Linked DNA regions of Stegostoma tigrinum. Each later gene encodes a partner of the first gene's protein in a complex. Links are inferred from orthologs where the notes say so. Each region holds a gene or a part of one and is shown in the gene's direction. Other genes may lie near its edges. The genes, in order: plxnb1b, sema4d and rho guanine nucleotide exchange factor 12-like.

What was found.
Region 2: the proteins of plxnb1b (region 1) and sema4d are in contact, whole or in part, in a crystal structure (PDB 3OL2), measured with the Homo sapiens proteins. The link is inferred for Stegostoma tigrinum from reciprocal best matches to the Homo sapiens genes PLXNB1 and SEMA4D. Residues at the interface, in NP_001123554.1 of Homo sapiens: Leu80, Pro81, Pro82, Glu87, Arg136, Pro137, Gly138, Asp139, Thr140, Tyr142, Gly178, Glu202, Lys205, Ala207, Gly209, Arg210, Ser212, Glu213, Arg235, Arg242, Asp359, Val360, Asn361, Ser362, Leu367, Pro368, Thr371, Tyr375, Ser379, Asp380; in NP_001358123.1 of Homo sapiens: Glu99, Lys100, Gly101, Phe158, Tyr179, Phe181, Leu182, Gly183, Ser184, Arg198, Tyr201, Ile203, Glu208, Val240, Leu264, Arg265, Thr266, Leu267, Gln268, Lys270, Thr347, Gln350, Ser351, His352, Thr353, Asp388, Gln392, Lys395.
Region 3: the proteins of plxnb1b (region 1) and rho guanine nucleotide exchange factor 12-like are in contact, whole or in part, in an NMR structure (PDB 2OS6), measured with the Homo sapiens proteins. The link is inferred for Stegostoma tigrinum from reciprocal best matches to the Homo sapiens genes PLXNB1 and ARHGEF12. Residues at the interface, in NP_001123554.1 of Homo sapiens: Glu2129, Lys2131, Val2132, Thr2133, Asp2134, Leu2135; in NP_056128.1 of Homo sapiens: Phe82, Gly83, Leu84, Thr85, Val86, Ser87, Gly88, Asp89, His127, Val131, Lys135.

What each region holds. Positions count from the first base shown.
Region 1 is NC_081364.1:17,663,233-17,670,704, reverse strand, and holds the start of plxnb1b (plexin-B1), read left to right. Parts: upstream 1-4,352; 5' UTR 4,353-4,440; coding exon 4,441-4,463; intron 4,464-7,472. UniProt on the Homo sapiens protein: Receptor for SEMA4D. Plays a role in GABAergic synapse development. Mediates SEMA4A- and SEMA4D-dependent inhibitory synapse development. Plays a role in RHOA activation and subsequent changes of the actin cytoskeleton.
Region 2 is NC_081356.1:53,945,791-53,953,860, forward strand, and holds the start of sema4d (semaphorin-4D), read left to right. Parts: upstream 1-4,996; 5' UTR 4,997-5,447; intron 5,448-8,070. UniProt on the Homo sapiens protein: Cell surface receptor for PLXNB1 and PLXNB2 that plays an important role in cell-cell signaling. Regulates GABAergic synapse development. Promotes the development of inhibitory synapses in a PLXNB1-dependent manner.
Region 3 is NC_081385.1:198,226-206,177, reverse strand, and holds the start of rho guanine nucleotide exchange factor 12-like, read left to right. Parts: upstream 1-4,920; 5' UTR 4,921-5,543; coding exon 5,544-5,575; intron 5,576-6,475; exon of another isoform or gene 6,476-6,579; coding exon of another isoform or gene 6,580-6,605; intron 6,606-7,952. UniProt on the Homo sapiens protein: May play a role in the regulation of RhoA GTPase by guanine nucleotide-binding alpha-12 (GNA12) and alpha-13 (GNA13). Acts as guanine nucleotide exchange factor (GEF) for RhoA GTPase and may act as GTPase-activating protein (GAP) for GNA12 and GNA13.

The sequences.
Region 1 (7,472 bases):
CCATTGCCTCTGCTTTTCTAGGCTGCAGCTGGTTTGGGAAAGTAGTCATTCTGACACAAGGACTGAGGGAGGGCTGTTTCTAGCTTTTGATGCTCTGTTGCTGACATGTTTGCTTAGGATGGGTCCTTTGAGATTCTCAGATGTGTATAATAAAGATGCTGTTTAATCTGTACTGCTGCTTTCTCTCTTGGATTGTACTGATCACCTTGGTAACCACTTGAGTGGTTGCTGCTGTCTCTGTTTGCCTGGCTACTGGGTTACTGAAACCTTTTAATTGGACTGAAAATGGTTTGAACTTGAGGATGGGGGCGAAAAAAACAGGAGTGTGGCTTTCATGTATCATCAAGGAGCCTATTCATCAATGAAATATCTTCCAGAGAAAAATAGTGTTTGCCAACAAATGGCTAACCGTGTGGTTTCCTTGAATTACCACAATGCAGGTGCTGCGCAAATATACGATGTTAGATGACACCTGCATGCTGCCACTAGTCAAGTCTGTGTTATCCCTTTGTTTGAAGGGCTCAAACTAACAACCTCAAGGCAAATGGTTCTGGAGAAAAGTTAGCTTCTGTTACTGAGACAGCTCTTTTTATAGTTGCTGATGGGTGGAGTAAGATATGAACAAAGGAGGTTTATTAGGTTACGTTAGATTCATGCAAGTCGGGACAAATAAATGGATCAAACACTGAAATGTGATTTTTTTTTTGTTATTAGCATATTTACATTGTAGTAAAGCTTCAATAAGTAAGTGGTTAAGCAGAATTCCCTGGGGCTAGTCTGCCACCAATATTGCTTCTTCCAACTCATTCATCCAACAAGCTGCTAACCATATGAAACTTGCACCTTTTTGTTTGGAGTCGTCACCATATCTTCAGGTTGGCTTGGAGATTAGCTCAGGAAGGGACTGAAATGTGAAATGTTGTAGCATACAGGCAGGGGCGGGTATTCCGCAACAGGTACGCACTGCGCCTTTAGTGTGACAAAACATTCCAAGGCATTTCACAGAAACAGTCAAACAAAACGACGCAGAACCACAGAGTGAGGGGCTGGGATATCTGAAATCCACAGCTAGGTCTAGGACAAGTTTTAACAATCATCTTTTAAAAGGATAGAGAAGCGGAGAGGCAGGGAAACGGAGACGGAGGGGGATATGTGAATCGGGAGCAAATGGAATCAGGCATGTGATTTCTGAAGAAGGGTCTCGGCCCGAAACATCAGCTTTCCCGCTCCTCTGCTGCTTGGCCTGCTATGTTCATCCAGCTTCACACCGTGTTATCTCAGCCATTTGGTCCCTTGAGCCTGCTCTGTAAATCGATAAGATCCTGGTTTGTTGGATTGAAGATGCTTTCTTACCAACCTGTTCAAAGATATTAATCTCGATTGTGACTTCTACTTTCCAGCATGCTGCTCATAGTCTTTGGCTCCTTTGTCAGTCAAGACTTTAAAATCCACCTTTTTAAAAAAAAATCCAATGATCCCGTCCTCCCGTCTCGGCAAGACAATTCTGTAGACTATCGGCCTCTTGAGGGAAATAAATTCACCACATCACTACCTTTAAATGGGACACCACATTTTTAAAATGACCTCAAGCTCGAGTCTCTCCCACAAGGAAAGCATCCTTTCAACACCCATCCTGTCAAGTCTCGTAGTATTTTTTATCAAAATAAGATCACCTTTCAAACCTCGATGGATACAGTCCAAACTGTCCTGTCAAGATGTACCTCAGACTTCCAGTCTTTTCCGCACTTCCTTAAAAACCATGCACAGTATCGCAGATATCCTCTAACCAATTTTTAAAAAACACTTTTGCAAAAATATATATTGTTACTAGAGTGGTAAAAGGTACATTCCAGAACATTTCAAACTAGTCATTACGGAAAATGCAATAAAATACAACGTATCTCAATTGAGCACACTGCATTCTTAGACACTTTAATCAATTGCAGACTAACTGTGACGTGTACTGTACCCATTCAGTGACAAGCTTCCAGTCCAATGAGCTCTAAGTTATCAAGCTCTTGTTACACTGTAGCTGTGACCAATGCTCTGTGCAGCTGTGACAAACCTTCCCTACTGTTATATTCTATTTGCCTTGCAAGAAACAACATTACATTTGTTTTTCTAATCATTTGTACTTGCATCCTAACATTTTGTAATTCATGTATCGGAACACTGATTACTCTGTCCCTCAGAGCTCTTCTGTGTCTGCATTCAAATAATATGCTGCTTTTAGATATTTATTGCTGCAGTGGACAAGTTCACATCTTCTCACGTTACATTGCAGTTTCCAAACTTTGCCCCTTACTTAACGATATCCCTGTTTGCAAACTCCTTGTGCCCTCTGCATGACTTTTCTTGCATCCATCTCTGTGTCTCCCGCAATTTTGTAATTTCACATTTGGTCCCTTTATCCAAGTTTTTCACATTGATTGTAAGCAATTGAGTCTCCATCACTAATCCCTGTGGAGAAATGGATATAGTGTTTGCTTGAACCTCAATGAGTGCTTCCATCGATCTTGTCATTCAAAGTGCCCTGCCTTCCACGAGATGTCTGAACTTTGGGGAGGGTTGCAGTCGCTCAGAGATAGCAGTCGTTCCATTTTTTTTTTGCTCCTCAAGTCGGATTTTCAGGTCACTAGTTAGTAAGCACATTGAGATTCCCATCGAGTGTCGACGTGAGATAGATCTGAAAGGAAGGTCCAGTGGGGAGAGATGACTGCTGCAACACTTGGAATCCTCACTGAGTCTTCGAGTTCCAAGCTCAGCCTGCATAGCTCATGTGAACTTCTACTTCGAAGGAACCAGCTCCAGATTCTGTGTTACAAGACAGACCCTGACTGAATTCTCTCATACCTGTCTCTGTGTCACCATCTCTGTAATCTTCTCCGGCCCTGCAAAGCTCTAAGAAGCTTTCACTCCTGCCGTTATAGAGTCAGTCATGCAGCACGAAAACAGACCCTTTGGTCCAACCAGTCCATGCTGACCAAGTTTCCCAAACTAAACTATTCCCTTTTATTTGCATTTGGCCCATATCTCTCCCAATCTATTCATGTACCTGTCTTTTAGATGTTGTAACTGTACCTGCATCTACCACTTCCTCCAGCAGTTCATTCCACATAAAACCACCTTCGATGTCAAAAAGTTGCCCCTCAGGTCCTTTCTAAATCCTCTCACCTTAAAAATATGCCTGCTCGTTTTGAACTCTCCTGCCTTAGGGGAAAGACGCTTGCTATTCAGCTCACCTATGCCCCTCATGATGTTATAAACCCCTATATGAGATCACCCCAAAAAATGTCCCGGCTATCCAACCTCCCCTTACAACTCAAACCCTCCATTCCCAATAATATCCTTCTAAATATTTTCTCCAATTTAGTAGGATCCTTCCTATATCCATCTCCTGCTGAATATATGCTATTGGCTGAACTCTGCTGTAAACTCTGGAAATCCCCTGTCCTCCCTCCCCACCTCTTTCCTCCCTTGTAATGTTCATTAAAAGCTGACCTTACTGCAGGATATTGCACATCTGACCCAATATCTTTCTGTGTGGCTCACTATCAGGTTTTGTTTGATAACGTTGCTTTAGGACAAGACTGTATGTTGAAGGTAGTCCTGACAGACAAGCTGTTGAGATTTCTGTGACCTGCCTACTTAGGTGGATGCTTTGAGCTATTCTACCACGGGGCATGTGCATTTGCAAGGCAAGGCAAAGTTTGAGGATTCTCTGGCATCTGCAGTTCCTATTATCTCTAGAATAAACGCTTACTGACTTGGTTTTTTTTGCTGAAACCCCTTCTGTTGGCTGCAAAGTACACAACAAGTTGCAGTAAGTGCACATTTGGGTTGTAAGTGGCTTGTGTCTGGAGAACGCGTGCCCCGAGCAGCTACTGTAACAGGAGCATAGCTTTTTGTGAACTGCCCTAATGGCATCTGGAGAATGTGCGTTCCACCTGAATGTATTAGTGCAGATAGTGGTTTTGTGAATCTGAAGGGCCGTCAGTTTCTTATTGATTCTCACAAAAAAACACACTTGCATCTTTTTAAAGCAGCAAGATAAATGCATGTTTAAAAAAATCCACAAGGGTTTCCTTGGGGGATCAATTGCATAATATGAGAGAGGCAATTTTGAACTTGTCTATTCTTTTATTGCAGGTTCTGTTTTGGCTTGCATGCCTCTTGCCTTATTCTTATGACTTCAGACTCATGCTTTGAAGGTGACCCAGTTTACAGGTCTTTCAGCTCTTTTTTTCTCTGCTGAAGATTTTCTTTCTGAGACTTACTTGCTTTTGTGGTTTAGGAAGCTAATTAAGCTCTGCATTCCTTGTTGTGTAGGATCAGGTTGGTCACATTGTGAATGAGTGAGTCATTCACAGCTGTCGGCCTTTGACCTTGCTGATCATCCGTAACTTAGCAACTTGCTGGCTTCCTGACTTAGACACCGTGATGCTGGAGCTGTGGAGATGGAGGTGAGCATATGTGTTCATCAGTGATCAGCAATTCTCTGACTGAGTATATTGTGTGGCATCCTTGTTGCTGCCATATGCCACCTGCATGTTGCTGTGTTTGTACAAAATATCAGGTTCTTCTGTGTAAAATGCCTTGCAAGTTTTTAATTCTGGCACTCTTCTTTTGAAGAGGGTTGGCCCTGCAATACAGTATTGTCACAGAATCTTAGCCATGCAGTTACCTGTGGTGGAAACTAAATAACAATTATAAAACTGCTGTCCTTTGAGCACCATCGAAGCTTACTGCAGGTTCAGCTTTGAGCTAGACAGCTTTTAAAAGTCACCAATGCTTCTGTCCCCATCTTATCTGAATTGTCTCTGGGTGAGAGATTAGCTTCAGAGAAGCAGATCTGTTCTGCCTCGTCCCACTACAGAACAAAGGAATTAAAATGCAAAATGTAGTAGTAGCCTCACGGACCCAGTGTCTAACTGTTAGAGATGTGCTTGTTGACTTTTTTAATATGTTTACTCTTTTGGATATGAATGACGCTAGTAAGATCAGTTTTAATAGCTGATCCTGATATTTAACCTTAGCTGGGTTGTTTTCTAGGCCATTCCAGAAGACAGTGGGTCTTCGATGCGAAATGTTGTCATCAACTGAGTGTTGCAAACTGGCATGTGGAAACGTCCCGGATTACATGTTAAGGGATGTACTGAAGCTAGAAGCAGCTCCACAGAGGTGCACACTAGGGCACAGATGCTGTTTCTGGGCTAACAGCAGTGGTACACTAAGGGACACCTTGGCTGTGTTCCTCAAAAGGAATATAGACGCTGGACATTGTAATGAGGCACCTCGGAGAGGGGTATCGAGAAAAGTTTATTTCTCTTGCACTTTCTGACATTTTCAACATGAAATGTTTTGTCCTTGCTCTGTGTGCTTTACACAAAATGTGTGGTCTAAACATTAAGATATCATCATTGATGAACCCAAGGGTGCAACATTGTGTGCGAAAACAAGTTGAATTTTGAATTCCATAAATTCTAAGTGGAAGATAGTGTGTAAAATGTGCTGTATAAATTTCTTGAATACAGCAATGACGTTGACTTTGGACTGGTGTTAGGTACAATTCAGACAGGAAGATGACAGGCTCCTTTCACGAAAGGGACAGTTTCACGGCCATTATGAACTTTCTAGTTTCAAGATGGCCTCAAAACATTCTCAAGTGGCCCTAATTTAAGCTTTCATTCTCTGAGTTATTCATCCAGACCTTTTGGATTACCAGACCTTTTCATGTAACCACTGTGATGTTCCCTGTTTTTTCTCATACAACACAGAGTAGCTATCACCATTATAGTAGGCATCAAACAGGTTCACTCAGATGACCTTGTCCAACAGCTGTAGCCATTTTTGTTGTTCACACAGCACTGTGGATGTCCTCACATCACATGGACTGCAGTAGTTCAAGGAGGCAGCTCATCGCTCCCTCCCTAATTAGGTATGAATAAGTGCTGACCTCACTACGGCAGTACCCACATCCCACAGAGGAGTCAATTTCTGAAAAGTAAGAAAGTTTGAGTCTGCTTTTGCTCACCTGTGGCCATCTCTTGATTTGACTTTAGGTGCAGAATAACGTAAAGGATCCAATGGCAGTCTAATGTGGAAAAGTTATGTAATCTTGGCCATTTTGTTTTCCTTAGCCAACAGCTAACACAGATTACCTGGCTGTGATCGCTTGGTGTTCGTGAAACCTTTCTGATGCTCTTGACGGTTGTGATATTCCATTGTCGACAGGGCCCTCAACCAGGTCTGACCTATCTCCCGCACTTCCGCCCTCACCTCTTCTCTTCCCTCCGGCAACAGTGACCGGGTTCCCCTTATCCTCACCTACTCTCCCACCAGCATCCACATTCAGAAGATCAACAGACACCGTTTTCCACCACCTCCAGTGAGATGCCATCACCAGACAAAGACATTCCCTTCCCCTCCTTTGTCCTCCTCCTGCAGGGACCGTTCCCTCCAGGACACCCTGATCCACACATCCTTCACCCCCAACGCCTCCTGACAGCCCCACGGCACCTTTCCCTGTAACCGGCGAAGGTGCAGCACCTGCCCACTTACCTCCTCCCTCCCCAGCATCGAAAGGCTGAAACATCATCTAGGGGAAGCAACACCACCTGCACTTGCCAGAATCCAGTCCACTGCATTTGCTGCTCGCAATGTGGTCTCCTGTACGTTGGGGAAACGAAGTGTAGACTTGGTGACCACTTCATAGAACATCTACGTTCTGCTCGCAGAAAAGATCTTGAACTATTTGTTGCCTGTCACTTCAATGTACCATCCTGCTCCTTGGCCAATTTCTTTGTCTCTGGCTTGTTGCAATGTTCCAGTGAAGCCCAACGCAAGCTGGAGGAACAGCACCTCATTTTCCACCTGAGGACCCTACAGCCCTCCGGACTCAATATTGAGTTCGATAATTTTAAGGTCTAAACTCCCCCATGTCCCAGCCCCCAACCCCACACACCAGGCCTTGTTGCCACATAGCCTGCCATTACACACTCCCTATTGTTGGCCACTGACAGTCCCCATTAACAACTATTCACCCTCCCAGCCTGATCGTTAGCAACTCCTTTGACTGTGCGACTGCCTTTCTCTCTCTTTGGGCTCTATCCTATCATTTACTCCCTACCCCACCCATCTCCTTACTTTCTGCATATAAACTGATGCTTTCCCAGCCACCATCAGTTCTGCGGAAGGCTCACCGGACCCGAAACGTTAACTCTGGTTTCTCCTCCACAGATGCTGCCAGACCTGCTGAGCTTTTTGAGCAACTTTTGTTTTTGTTCCTGATTTACAGCATCCACAGTTCTTTCGGTTTTTATTTGCTTGTGACATTCCATTTGGCTGCCACCTTTTCCTGCATCACAGCAATGCTGAGTCAGTGAAATGCTGTTGGAGGTGTGGAGGTTGTGAAAAGCACAATTTAAATCTGAGACTTGCCTGATTTAAATGTGCACACTTTAATCTTGTAG
Region 2 (8,070 bases), on another chromosome or scaffold:
AAGTCCACACTGCCCCTTACAGCATCCCACCCAGACCCATCCCACTATAACCCACACACTCCTGAACACTATGGGGAATTTAGCATGGCCAATCCACCTAGCCTGCATTTCTCTGGACTGTGGGAGGAAACCGGAGCACCCAGAGAAAACCCACGCAGACATGGGGACAATGTGCAAACTCCGCACAGACAGTTGCCCGAGGCTGGAATCGAACGTGGGTCCCTAGTGCTGTGAGGCTACAGTGCTAACCACTGAGCCACCGTGCTGCCAGTTCAACAGATATCAATGGATGCTGGCATCTGACAAGTGACAGACACACCAAATCACCATGGCACATATCCAATCCATTTACAATGTGCTTCTGTATTGCCATGCTGGACCTCGAGACAGATGAGCAACCATCAAAGAACAAAGAACAAAGAACAAAGAACAATACAACACAAGAACAGGCCCTTCAGCCTTCCAAGCCTGCGCCAACACGCTTTTCCCTTCCATACTAAAACTGTCTTCACTTACAGGATCTGGATCCCTTTATTCCCTTCTTATTCATGTATTTGTCCAGCTGTTTCTTGAAAGCTGCTATTGTTTCTGCCTCCACCACCTCCTCTGGCAGCATGTTCCAGGTACTAACCACACTTTGCGCGTAAAACTGCCTCACACATCTCTTTTAAACATCCACGCCCCGCACATCAAACCTATGTCCAATAGTAATTGACCCCTCCACCCTGGGAAAAAGCCTCATATTTTCCACTCTTTCCATGCCATTCACAAACTTACAAACTTCCATCATGTCGCCCCTCAACCTCTTGCATTCCAGTCTAAACAAACCCAGTCTATCCAACCTTTCTTTATTGTCAAAATCCCCCATACCTGGCAACATCTTTGATAACATTTTCTGTACCCTCACCACAGCATCCGCATCCTTCTGATAGCATGGTGACCAGAACTGTAGGTAATATTCCAAGTGTGGTCTAACTACAGTTTTATAAAGCTGCAGCATAACTTGCCTATTCTTATACTCAATGCCCCTTCCAATGAAGGTAAGCATGCAATCTGTGGACCTGCACACCCAGATCCCTCTGCATATCAATATTCCTAAGGGTTCTGCCATTCATTGTATAACGTCCACCTGTACTTGACTTTCCAAAATGCATCATCTCACATTAGGCTGGATTAAACTCCGTCTGCCATTTTTCCATCCATGCCTCCAACTGATTTATATCCCACTGTATCCTCTGACAATCTTCCTTGCTATCTGCTAGTCCACCAATCTTTGTATTGTCCGCCAACTTACTAGTTGGACCAGCCATGTTTTCCTCCAAATCATTCATCTAGAGCACTGACAGCAGAGGTCCCAGCACTGATCCCTGTGGAACACCACTAGTCACGACCCTCCATTCCAAAAAGCATCCTTCCACCGCTACCTTCTGTCTCCTATGATTAAGCCAGTTCTGCATCCATCTTCATCACTTCACCTTTTGACCCAGTTAGCTGTTAAAGACCTCATCAAAGGCTTTAGTGAGGCGCATGGAGACAAAATGAAGTGCATTACCCTCATCAATTATCTTCATCACCTCCTCAAAAAACTCAATCAAGTTAGTGAGGCACAACCTCCCCCACACAAAACCACTAATCGTTAATAGTCCATTTGCTTTTAAATGCATATAGATCTTGTCCCTGAGAATCTTTTGCAATAATTTCCCTACCACTGACGTGAGACTCACAGGCCTGAAATTTCCCAGATTATCCCTACTACCTTTCTTAAACAATGGGACAATATTGGCTATTGTCCAGTCCCTACCTGTGGCCAAAGAGGATGTCTATCAATGCATCATGATAATGTTGCTGCAAGAACACTTTACATGTGTACATAAGCTTATGATTAGACAAGGTTGCATCTCAGCGGTGCTGACTTACTTTCTTCACACTTACTCACTTTTGACCCCACCTGGATGTTCACAGCATCTCTGCCCTGCCTTGCCCCTCCCTGCTCTTTTGCAGTATGCCCCATTAGTCAGTTACCAGGATCACAGGATTGTTATATTGCCTTGTCATTCAGCATAGGCACAATGCCAGTAAACTTGCAGTTGTCAGCAATCATTAGTCAAATCATGGGAAACATTGGTCAGCCAGGAGGTCCCAAAGCAGTAAGTCAAAGGCAGTCTGAGATACCCATCCACTGGCTTGGACACAGTCAGTCAGCCCCATAGGATGGTCAAGATCAGGATTTTGGCTTGGCTCTTCATGCTTTATTGTGTGATATTTCCTGCTGCAATGAGAAAATGTGTAACAATTTCTCTTGCTAAGAACTATGCAGGACAGTTCTGGACTGACTATGCTTGTCTGAATACACAATGGTATTTTAAAGCACACACTGGCACCAGGGAAGCCAGTCTACTCTGGGGTATCCTGACAGTGATGAGTTCTTCTTGTAATGGTGGTTGGTAGTTTTGGGCTAGCACTGGACAAGACGTACACCATATGGTGTCTTGGTAGGTTGTTAATAAGGAGAGTTTGGTAAGAAGGCTTGAGAAAACTTGCTAGGTCTTATAAGGAGAAATCTTTCTAACAAAGTGAATGTTTGTGTTCTGTTTTACAGAGACATGGCTCATTACAGCTTCAACTGACTGTGCCTTACAACCTGAGGGTTACTCAATCCATTGGATTGACTGCTTGGCATCCTGTAGCAAATCAAAGGGTGGATGGGTCCACCTCCTAATCAACATCTCTTGATGCTCAGATGTGATAACCCTGGTAAGTTACTGGTCCCCAAATCTAGAATTGCCATTTCTACTACCTGCAATATTCCTCCAGACCACACCCACAACAGGCACCCCTTAATTTTTTCACTAGGTATGGAAATAGTGGTGGACTCCCCAAATTTCTTTACGCTTTTCTTATTTAATTTTTTGCTGCCTTTGTAAATAATCCAAATGTAATATAGGCCCAGACTGCTGTTACCAAATATTATTTTCAAAAACTGTTTATTTTCAAGGAAGAATGTTTATGATACCAATTCCTTTCGAGCTGTGCTCCAAAATTATTGTTAAAATGTAATTCCTTCATTCCACACAACATAAAGGGCAATATAGTAATATTTTGTTTTGCAAGGCCAGTTTGCAACACATGGTCCAAGTGTTCTGCTGGATTGTTCATGAACACAAACAAATGTTTTACAAACCAAACGAACTGCAGATGCTGTAAATCAGGAACAAAGACAGAATTTGCTGGAAAAGCTCAGCAGGTCTGGCACATCTGTGAAGACAAATCAGAGCTAACATTTTGGATCTGGCAACCCTTGCTCAGAACTGATGGTAGCTAGGAAAATATAGGTTTATATGCAGCACATAGGGTGGGGTAGGGGGTAAGGAGTAATTGATAGGTGGGGATAGAGCCCAAATAGAAAAAATAGCATTTACCACCTCTCTCCCCAGTCACCAAGGGCCCAAACGTACCTTTCAGATGAAGAAATAACATAGTGTGGAGCTGAAGAAACACAGCAGGCCAGGCAGCATCAGAGGAGCAGGAAAGTTGACATTTTGGATCAGTACCTTTCTTCAGAACCCAACAGAAAGATCAACTTTCCTGCTCCTCTGATGCTGCCTGGCCTGCTGTGTTCCCCCAGCTCCACACTGTGTTATCTCTAAATCCAGCGTTGGCAGTTCTTACTATCTCCTTCCAGATGAAGCTGCACTTCTCACAATTGAGTCTACTGCATTCGCTGCTCACAATGTGGTTTCATCTCGATTGGGGAAACGAAGCATAGGCTGGGTGACCACTTCTCAGAACATCAAGGTTCTGCTCACAAAAAAGGCTTCCAGCTGCCTGCCACTTTAACACACCACCCTATTCCCTGGCCAACATCTAACATCAACACATTATTTTCCACTTGGGGACCCTGCAGCTTTTTGGACTCAATATCAAGTTCAATAATTTTAGGGCCTAAAATCTCCCATGTCCTAGACCCTACTCCACACAGCAGGCTTTGTCATCACATAGACTGTCATAACACACTACCTGTTGTTAGTCGCTAACATTCCCCATTAGCAGCTATTCACCTTACAAGCCAGATCGTTTTCAACTCCTTTGTTTATCCAACTACTGTTGTCATGAGGGCTATAGACAGGGTGGATAGCAAAAAGCTTTTTCCCAGAGTGGGGGACTCAATTACTAGGGTTCATGAGTTCAAAGTGAGAGGAGGAAAGTTTAAGAGAGATATGCATGGAAAGTTCTTTACACAGAGGGTGGTGGACACCTGGAATGCGTTGCCAGCGGAGGTGGTGGGCGCAGACACATTAGCGTCTTTTAAGATATATTTGGACAGGTACATGGATGGCCAGGGAGCAAATGGACACAGACCGTTAGAAAATAGATGACAGGTTATACAGAGGATCTTGATCGGCGCAGGCTTGGAGGGCTGAAGGGCCTGTTCCAGTGCTGTAGGTTTCTTTGTTTCTTTTTGTTTGTCTCTCCTTGGGCTCCAACCCTATCTACTGTTTACACGTTACCCCCGTCCCCATCCTTTGCGCTGCATACAAACCAACACTTTTCCAGCGACCATCGGTTCTTAGGGTCACTGAACCCGAAATGTGGACTCTGATTTTTCAACACCGATGCTGCCAGATCTGCTGAGCTTTTCCAGCAACTTCTGTTTTTGAGCAGACGTTTTAACTTTGGTTATGGCTTTGGCTGTTCATTGAATTTTATTTCTAGATTTCTTAAGAAATGCAATTTTGGTCTCAACTTAATTGACAAAGAGCCTACTGTGTACGGGTCATGTTACTCGTCTGTAGCTGTGAGACCAAAGTGACAGAGATGGGGAATCAAATCCGGCCCCAGAGAATTCTTTTTATTAAGCATGAGTACAGAACTTTACACGTTTGTCGTATTGGGTGAACTCCCACACGTAGCAAAATATGGGCAGCGTGTAACATGAGCTCAGTATTACGAACTGAAAACCGCTCATTCCAGTCACTGCTAATGTACTCAATAGGAAATTAAATCATTAATCTAACACTGCAGGAGGTTCCTGGGAGTCTTTTGCTCTACCTTAGTAGGTGAAACTTATGTATCGTGTTTAAAATCAGAGGTGAAAATATAAACGAAAGGACGTTTCACTCGTTTGTCAATAAAAATTACCGTCGCATGGCACATTCACGCTTAAGCAGCAAACATTAACAGAAGTGAAAGGAGTATGTTTTGTAGAGGACTGCGAGATTGATCGGATCAGTTGTAAGTGGTAAATCCAGCTGTGGGACCCAGCTGCTACTTTAACCCTGCTGTGGGAAAAGGGAAGCGAATTGGAGAGGGGCTCGGGGACGGCCTATGGTGGAGGTCTGATAAGCACTACAGTTAACTCCAGTCCAACCTTGGCCGCCATACTGTCAGTTGTGGTTGTGGGACTTGTTGCGAGAGGTAGAGCTGCACGTTTCCTGTACACTTTTCCGGTAAGTCATATATCAGCGCCCGCTTTTTACAGTTTTTTCCCCCTTAAAAAATGCTTTACTTAAGGGGCAGCGGTTGCAGCACAAGTCTGACTGAGCTTTCGTCCTTTTAAAAATAGTGTCGCTTTCTAAGTAAAGAAAGCGAGTCTCGGTTTGTCCAGCCGACTTGAAGTACTTCACAAGCAGTAACTGCGGTGGTTCTCTGCAGCGTAGTTTTCTGAAACCACACGCGCTTGTTCGCATTCTTAAAAACAACAAACTTTAGATAAACAGTTAGTTAGGTGTTTCAGGTCATGCCACGTTTTGTGTTTGTGTCTCTTGTGGAGTTAATTTTGCATTGCGTGGTCCTCTGGGTAGACAAAACAATTGGTCAAACATCAACTTTATGCCGCTGTTGTGACTCCAGTGTTCAGCTTCTACGTCTGGCGCATCAGTTATAAACTGAGAATTGAAAAGCTTTATCAACTGAGTAAGGATGGTCACATTATGACTGCTTTTTGCCCATGGTTCTCATTGATATCGTTTCAGAAAGGCGGAAGAACGAGAAAGATTTGGGTTATTAATTTCCTTTTTAAACATGTGTTGCGATATGTGTAGAAAAAATTGCTTCTAGTAAAAACGTATGGGGTTTATTTTTTTAAAAAAGAATCTTTGCATATGCATTTACAGTCGACGAGATCGTCGTTTTTCACTTTCACGGATTAAGAAGGAACATTTTTCCTTTGGTTTTAATTTCAATTAAATAAATCAAAGAACAGTCCAAGCCACGCATTTGTAGATTACACTACAAAAAATCTGGTAATGTATTAGTTTGCCCAGTAGTATTAGTAATCCAAGTTACCGATTCTGTGAACTTGCCCTGAATGCCTTCTTCTTCTAAACGTAAATCGATCCATATTGTTCTGCCATGACTACGAATAGTCAGCTTGAATGCTACATCAACAAAGGCCGAGGCACAGGTCACTTTCCTGCATTTCTTGGTCACGGTGTTTTGAGGGATTGGTTGATGCTTAAAGAGTAACGGCAACCGGGTTGGGGAGAAAGTTAAAATGAGATTGGAAGGTGACCCACTTCAAAGTTCCTGAATTTGTTCCTATTTGTTTGTTACATAAAATGACAAAAGTAATTTGTTCTCAGCAGTTTACCAATGATGTATATATTAGTGCAACTCTAGAATGCCATTGCCTTTGGTGAGCTGGTCAAGGTTCAAGACTCTCTTTTTCGGTTGTATCTTTTATTCTTTTACTCAAACTATTCAAAATGGTACCAGATTTTGGTTACTGAAACTTTTCGCTATAGTTTAAATACAAATGACAATGTGAATCATTCATAAGTAAGTCATTCATTCTTCCCTTCCAGAGGTGTAGTCAGGATCTTAAAGTTGCAAATCTTCGATAAACTTGGATTTCTCAGTTTTTGCATTTTTTTCTTTGCAACTTGAAAAGCTAGAAAATTTATTTTGTTTGGGCATTAGAATATCTTCAGATTTTACAGACTTATTTAAATGTTGAGATAGCCTGATTTTGTCCTCAGCCATACAACTCCACCAAAATAGAATTGGGTTTAGATGAATTTCATCAGATTCCTTAAATCTACCAAATTCTATAAGATATAAACTTGCCAATAATCTGTAATGATAAACCTTAATGTTCTGATTACTACTATTAATTATAGGTTAGATTTACTTTGACAGTAACAAAGCATAAATTTTTCATTATATATTTTAAGTTGTTAGTTTTTCATTGTAACCCTTGGTCATTTCAGCGTTATGGTATTCAGCGTGAGAAAATTTTGGCCAGGGTTTCGTTTTTTTTTTGTGGAAAGGATGTGAATTAGCTTGTAGCCTTTGCCATTGCAGTGAAAATCATGTAAATGTTCAAAAATGAAACAAATAATTACAATGTGATTAGTAGATTTATTTCCAATGGATTTTCAATCTCGGGTTTGCATGGTTTGTACTCTGCGTGAATATCCTTCATCTTTTGTTCCAATTGCTTCAACTAAAATGCATGGTATCTTGAATTATGCTTTATTAACTGTGAAGATAGTTTTTGAATACAGTTAGGCTTTCTACAATAAAATCTACCATGCCAATGTCTTGAACTTCAATCTCCAAGTTGACATCATCCAAAATCAGAACAAATCTTAAATACCAAAAGAACTGCAGATACTGTAAATCAGGAGCAAGAACAAAATTGCCAGAAAAGCTCAGCAAGTCTGGCAGCACCTGTGAAGAAAAAAAAAGCAGTGTTAACGCTTTGGGTCTGGTGACCCTTTTTTAGAACTTGCTGAGCTTGTCCACCTGTTTGTTTTCATAACAAATCTTGTTGCTCGCCAACCTATTTATATACATTCCCTTCACATACAAGCTCAAATTTAAAATCTGTAAATGTATCTGTGGTTACATCCCTTCCTTTATCTGTATTGTCCTTCAGATCTGATACGTTACCACTGCCTGCTAGTTTTGGCCTTGTACCTTCCCTTCATTTATCTTGTGCTGTTCTTTCAGCTGCTTACGTCTTTGAATTACTTCTCTTTAAAGTAAAGTCTCTCTCTTCCTCAGCTATTAACTAAACCTTTGCCATCAAAACTACTGTCTTGACCTTTCTGTTCCTTGGCATAGTGA
Region 3 (7,952 bases), on another chromosome or scaffold:
GCCTGCTCATGGACACTATGGGCAATTTACGGTCAATCCATCTAACCTGCATCGAGTCATAGAGTTATACAGCATGGAAATAGACCTTTTGGTCCAACTTGACCATATTGACTAGATATCCTAAATTAACATTTGCCAGCATTTGCCCTATATCCCTCTAAACCCTTCCTATTCATGTACCCATCCAAATGGCTTTAAGTGTTGTAATTGGACCAGTCTCCATCACTTCCTCTGGCTGCTCATTCTACACACACACCACCCTTTGTGTGAAAAACTTGCCCCTTAGGTCCCTTTTAAATGTTACCCCTCTCACCTTAAACCTATGCCATCTAGTTTTGGACTCCACTAGCTTGGGGACAAGACCTCGGCTATTCAACCTATCTATGTCCCACATGAATTTATAAACTTCTATAAGGTCACCCCTCAGCCTCCAATGCTCCAGGGAAAATAGTCCCAGCCTATTTCAGCCTCTCCCTATAGCTCAAACCCTCCAACCCTAGCAACACATTGGTAAATCTTTTCCAAGCCCTTTCAAGTTTCACAACGTCCTTCCTGTAGCAGGGAGACCAGAATTGAATGCAGTATTCCAACAGTGGCTTAATCCTGTATAGCCACAACATGACCTCCCAACTCCTATATTCAATGCAATGACCAATAAAGGTAAGCATACCAAATGCCTTCTTCACTACCCTGTCTATCTCCAACTCTACTTTCAAGGAACTATGAACCTGCACTCCAAGGCCTCTTTGTTCAGCAACAGTCTGTAGGATCTTACCATTAAGTGTATAATTCTACTCTGATTTGCCTTTCCAAAATGCAGCACCTCACATTTATTTAAATTAAATTCAATCTGCCACTCCTTGGCCCATTTGCCCATCTGATCAAGGTCCCGTTGTACTCTGGGGTAACCTTCTTCGCTGTCCACTACACCTCCAGATTTGGTGTCACCTGTAAATCATATCTCCTATGTTCACATCCAAATCATTTATATAAACTGATGAAAAGCAGTGGACCCAGCATCGATCCTAGTGGCACACAGCTGGTCACAGGTCACCAGTCTGAAAAGCAACACCCCACCAACACCGTCTGTCTCCTACCTTTGAGCCAGTTCTGTATCCAAATGGTTGATTCCCGTTTTCCACGTAATCTATCCCTGCTAACCAATCTATCATGTGGAACCTTGTCGAATGCCTTACTGAAGCTCATATAGATCATGTCTTCCACTTTGCCTTCAATCATCCCACGCACAAAGCTATGTTGACTATCCCTAAGCAGTCTTTACCCTTCCAAATACATGTAAGTCCTGTCCCTCAAGATCCCCTCCAACAACTTGCCCACTGCCAATGTCAGGCTCACCGGCCTATAGTTCCCTGGCTTTTCTTTATCACCTTTCGTAAATAGTGGCACCACGTTAGCCAACCTCCGGTTGTTCGTCACCTCACCTGTGGCTATCAATGATACAAATATCTCAGCTAGGGGCCCAGCAATCTCTTCCCTCGCTTCTCACAGAGTTCTAGGGTACACCTAATCAAGTCCTGGAGGTTTATCCATCTTTATGCATTTTAGGAAATCCAGTACCACCTCTTCTGTAATGTGGACATTTTTCAAAATGTGCCTATTTATTTCCCCAAGTTCTCTAGCTTGAATTTCCACTCCACAGTAAATACTGATGCAAAATACTTGTTCAAAATCAGAATATCTTCCCCATCTTCTGCGGTTTCATACATGGGGGGCCTTGCTGATCTTTAAGGATCCTTGTTCTCTCCATAGTTACCCTTTTGTCCTTAATGTATTTGTAGAATCCCGACATCCTTAACTGGGGGAGTAAACTGAAACACCCAGGAGGGAACCCATGCAGACATGGGGAGAATGTGCAAACTCCACACAGACGGTTGCCTGAGGGTGAATTTGAACCCCAGCCCCTGGTACTGTGAGGCCGCAGTACTAACCACTGAGTTACTGTGCCACCCATTTCTTTGTGCCACTATCATAGTCAAAGATGTTGGTAATTAAACACTTTTGCGTAAGATATACTCTCAAAGCTTTCGTCTCAGGAGTCAAGATCATGTGTAGTCTTCAGAGGGAAGAGTTAGTCAGCAGAGAGAGCAGAACCAGGATACTGATGTGATTCATGCTTGTTTTAGAGTAATCCTTAATTTTTACATATCTCAATTGTAAAGTCCCTTGTAACTGAATAACGCTGTCTGGACTGTTTTTGCAGTCCTTTCACTAGTTCATGTTCTGCAATTCCCAATATGAACACAGCACATTTTGGTGGAAACATTCAATAGAACCGACACATCCTGAATACTGCCAGGTCCTGGGCGGAGGGGTTTCTGAGTTGTCGATGTCTCAGATCCAGTGGAGATTTCAGAAAGTGAGGAAAGTGTAGTCACAAAATAGAGGTGTTGGAGGGAGTACCCAAACTTCCAAACACCTCAGCTGCCTCACATTCTGCAGGTCAGCTATTAGACTTATCAGGCATCTCTGAACCAATTCCCGGAATGGTGGGATTACCATATGTTGAAAGATTGGAGCGACTGGGCTTGTATACACTTGAGTTTAGAAGGATGAGAGGGGATCTGATTGAGGCGTATAAGATTATTAAGGGATTGGACACTCTGGAGGCAGGAAGCATGTTTCTGCTGATGGGTGAGTCCAGAACCAGAGGACACAGTTTAAAAATAAGGGGTAGGCCATTTAGAACAGAGTTGAGGAAAAACTTCTTCACCCAGAGAGTGGTGGATATATGGAATGCTCTGCCCCAGAAGGCAGTGGAGACCAACTTTCTGGATACTTTCAAGAAGGAGATAGATAGAGCTCTTAAAGATAGTGGAATCAAGGGTTATGGGGATAAGGGAGGAACAGGATACTGGTTGCGGATGATCAGCCATGATCATAATGAATGGTGGTGCTGGATTGAAGGGCTGAATGGCCTACTTCAGCACCTATTGTCTATTGTCAATCAAACTAGAAGGGAACCAAATCTTTCTCAAGGAATGGGGAAGGACTGAAGTTTGGGATTAGGAAACATTTTTGGATCAATAACTCACGGCACTTCCCAGCAAAAGGGACTCTGGGTTTGGAGCGAGATTTATCCTGGGTGTGGAAGCAGATTGATTTCTGATTTGCTGGGGATTGACTCATTTTTGGAGTGGGACTGAGTCTGGATGTGGAGCAAGACTGATTCCAGCATTGGTCCAAGACTGAATCGGGTCAGGAAGGGGATTAAGTTCAGGTTTGGTACAGGATTGACTCCAAGTTTGGAGTGGGACAGACTCAGGCTTTGGTACATGATTGGCTGGAGTTTGGAGTGGGACTAATTGACTAGTGTCGTGGAGTCATTGAGTCATAGAGCATGAAAGCAAACCCTTTGATCCAACTCATCCATGCTGACCAGGTTTCCAAAACTGAACTAGGCCCCATTGCTGTACCCATCCAGGTGCCTCTTAAATGTTGGAATTGTACCAGCCTCCACCACTTCCCCTAGCAGCTTATTTCTTGTACATCCCACCCTCTGTGTGAAAAAGATGCCTCTCAGGTCACTTTTAAATCTTTCCCCCCTCATCTTAAACCTATGCCCTCTAGTTATAGACTTCATAACGTCGGGAAAAGACCTTGCCTCTTCATTTTATTGATGCGTCTTTTATAAACCTCGGTCAGGTCACCCCTCAGTCTGCTACATGGACACAGGGAGAATAGCCCCAGCCTCTCCCTATGACTCAACCCCTCCAGTCTTGGTAACATTCTTGCAAATCTTTTTTGCACCCTTTCCAATTTAATAACATCCTTCCTACCACAGGGTGACCACAATTGTATATAGTTCTCCACACGTAGCCTTGACAATATTTTGTAGAACGGCAACATGACATCCCAACTCCTGTTCTCAATGCGCTGACCAATGAAGGCAAGTGTGCCAACTGCCATCTTCACCACCATGTCTACTTGTGACACCATTTTCCCCCTTTGAAAACACTCCCCAGGGCCCTATCATTAACTGTACAAGTCCTGCTCTGGTTTGTCTTACCAAAATGCAGCACACCTCTTTTATATACATTAAACTCAATCTGCCATTCTTTGGTCCAATGGTCAAGTCCATTGTACTCTTATGTGACCTCCACAGTCCACTATACCATCAATTTTGGTGTCATCCACAAACTTTCTAACCACGTCTCCCAAATTCTCATCCAGATTGTTTTTTTTTAAATGACGAACAACAGTGAACCCAGCATTGATCCTTGTGGTGCACTGCTGGTTACAGGGCTCCAGTCTGAACAACAACTCTCCAGGACCTCACCCTCAGGTTTCCTGTCGTCAAGCCAATGTTGTATTCAATTAGCTGGCTTTCTCTGGATTCCATGTGATCTAACCTTACTAACAAATCTAGCTTGTGGTGGCTTGTTGAAGGCCTTGCTAAAGTCCATGTAGACTACGTTCATTGCTCTGTCTTCATCTATCTCCTTGGTCACCTCTTCAAAAAACTGAATCAAGTTTGTGAGTCATGATTTCCCACACACAAAGCCAGGCTGACTATCGCTCGTCAGTCGTTGCCTTTTCAAATGCACATAAAATTATTCTGTCTCTCAGAATCACTTCCAACAATTCACCCACTACTGATGTCAGACTCGTTGGTCTGTAGTTTGCTGGCTTTTCTTTGCAGCCTTTCGTAAACGATGGCACAACATTAGCCACCCATCAGTCTGCTGGGGCCTTATCCGTAGCTGTCTATGCTACGGACTCTGCAATTTCTTGCGTATATTCCCACAATGTTCTGGGATATACTTGAGTCCGGGGCAGGGCAGCATTGATTCCAGGTTTAGTGCTGGACTGACTGCGGGTGGGTAGCGTGTTTGATTCCGGGTTAGGAAGGAAGTGTTGGTGCATAGGATTACTTTGCGCGGAGTAGGTCTGGAGGCGGCGAGGCGGCGGCGGCGGATGGAGGGCGGAGGTGAAGCGGCTCGAGTGAAGTAACAAAGTAACAACCGGCACCGGGAGCGGGGACACTGTCCGGGGGCGGGGGACCCCACACCCAGACACTGACAGCGACTAACTGACCGGGGCAAGAGACACGGCCCGGGGTCCAACTGACCGGGACTGAGTATCCGGGAGACGGGTCCGGAGCTGGGGAGAGTCCGAGGCCCGGAGCCAGTGACCGGGGCCCGGAGCCAAGGAGAGCCCGAGGCCCGGAGCCGAGAGCCCGGGATACTTTGGGATACAATCTGCTACTTTCCTGATACATTGCTGCATTTTATTGCTTTTCTTCCTTGCGGATACTTTGTTTCTGAGTGGATCCTGATCCCGGTTTGGCCCACTGTTTCCCCTCCGGGAGGCTGCAGCCCCGGTTTCAGTTTTGGCCCCGGACCCGGGGATGGGTGTTCGCTCCTGGAGACGCCTGTGAACCGCCAGAAGCGGCGGCCCCTGGAGCACTCCGAAGGTCGGCTGTCCCGCATTTAGATCTCGGCCGGGAGCGGCGGAAAACTCGGGGACGATTGCGGAGGAGAAAATGAGAATTGGATAAACTTGGAATCATTGAGAGGAGCCAAATGAGCGTTACACCGTCCGGCCTGAGTGAGAGGTAAGAGAGGTGCTTTAAAAACCCGACTGGAGATAGTTACCTGGGTGATCATATTCTTATTGTGGCCTGTATTAATCTCACTGATAGTCCTGGGAAGAGCAAGCGGGTGGAGAGGATGCAGAGATTCTCGACAGTGGTGCCAGGACTTGTGCTGGAGAAGCTGGGATTGTTCACCTTGGAGCAGACAAGGTTAAGAGCAAAAACAAAGTTGCTGGAAAAACTCAACTCTGGCAGCATCTGTGGAGGAGAAACCAGACTTAACGTTTCAGGTCTGGTGACCCTTCCTCAGAACTTGCCAGAATCTTTCAAAATCATGAAGGATAGGTTAATGTGAGGGAGACAGACCGAGCAAGAGGGTTGCGAGTCCAGAGGCTTTCAGATTTTTCAGAAAATAACTTGTTTTGGGGGTGGGATGCAATAAAAATTTTATAGTTTTAAATGGGTGATGAAGGCATATTCAATAACTTTTAAAAGGTAATTGCACGATTCATGGAAAGGAAAAAAATGCAGGATTATGAGGAAAAATATTGGGCACCTTGTGAAGAGTTGAACAAGTTTGAAGGGCTGATTAGCATCTGTGTTAAGATAAACTTATCCTAGGAACCAGACAGTAATGGTGACAGGATCAGTAACATTCGCTTTTAGTTTGCTAAATCTGAGAGATAATTAATGGTATTTTGGAAGCTATAGTTCACAGTTTCAATTCTTTGTCTGCATGGGTATTGGCGAACAGTCAAATCCCAAAGCAGTTAGATAATAACTAATGTCAGGGACTAGAATGAAAAACAGTCATAAACCTTGAATACTAACTATACTGGATCATAGTATAATATAACACTGGTGAGTTTGCTGTTTGGTTTCACGTTATGTTCCCACCCTGCTCTTCCTACCCTGTTACAGTAGCTGATTTGCAGGTGAGGTGTTGGGGCCCACTGGAAGAGTTTCTAATTCAGAGCACACATGTTCGATGGAAAATTCCATGGAATCATTGACTCACTGGCAGGATGAGCACTCCACAATCCAGGGATTGGTAAGGAGATAGAGTTTAGCATTGTCCTGAAATGTTGAACAAAAACAAGGTGTGGCTATTTTGATCTGTCAGTCTTGTTGCAGAGTGGAATAATCAACCAGTATACTATGGGAGATGGATCTTTTACTACTTCCTTGAGTTGGATGAAGTTTGGGATTTCACAAACTGCTCATAAATAATCAAGATAATAAAATGTGAGGCTGGATGAACACAGCAGGCCAAGCAGCATCTCGGGAGCACAAAAGCTGACGTTTCGGGCCTAGACCCTTCATCAGAGAGGTCTGGTGACCCTTCCTCAGAACTTGCCAGAATCTTTCAAAATCATGAAGGATAGGTTAATGTGAGGGAGACAGACCGAGCACCCTGTCTACTGGGACTTCTGGAGAGATGAATTCATAGGAAACAGCAAAGTAGTATACTCGCTGCTGGTGAACGTGATGTAACTGTTATTTCACTAGATGCCCAGAGTGGAATAGTGCAAAAATTGGGCAGAATGTGGAGATTTCTGAGGAACATTTAGGGCTGTGACCAATTAGAAGGGGTTTCTGTAATTGATTGTTGTGCGTGATTCACAATAATATTGTATGAAAAAAATGTTTGCATAACGTATTGGGACCTCTTCAGTGTGAAAGACCCAGTTGATGCGAAGAACTTCTGAGTAAGATTCAGGAACAAGAGCAGTTCCATGTGGAATAATATCTGCTTTTGCTCGAAAGCAGCCAATCAGATTGCAAACTTTTGATCAGGAAGCAGTAAAATGGGAACTGATTTTCCGGAGAATGAAACAGCTGATTGAGACCGACCAGACATTATCGGTTTGATAGTGAAGGGAACATTCCAGCAGTTTAAGGTGATTGTTAAGGGCCACTGAGCTGTTGACTTGGTTGTGTCTTCACACATCAGGAACTGAGTGGTAATCTTTCTGGCTGAAACTACAGAACCCAAACCTGGTTGAATCAAGCCCAATTCCGGCTGCAATAATCTACCTTTTTAGTAGGTGTGTGGATAGAGGATTATTACACCCACTGCAACTCAATGGGAGGAGATTCCACTTTGTATCAGTGTCCTGAGTCATCACTAGTGACCCCTGTACAGTAGTAGACCTTGCCACTTATTCCCAGCCAGGCCTCTCCTGTGGGATCTGTATCATAGAATTCTGCTTTTCAACTCAGTCGGCTCCAGAAGGCACTATTCAGAATGAGAGATAATGGGAACTGCAGATGCTGGAGATTCCAAGATAATAAAATGTGAGGCTGGATGAACACAGCAGGCCAAGCAGCATCTCAGGAGCACAAAAGCTGACGTTTCGGGCCTGGACCCTTCATCAGAGAGGGGGATGGGGGAGGG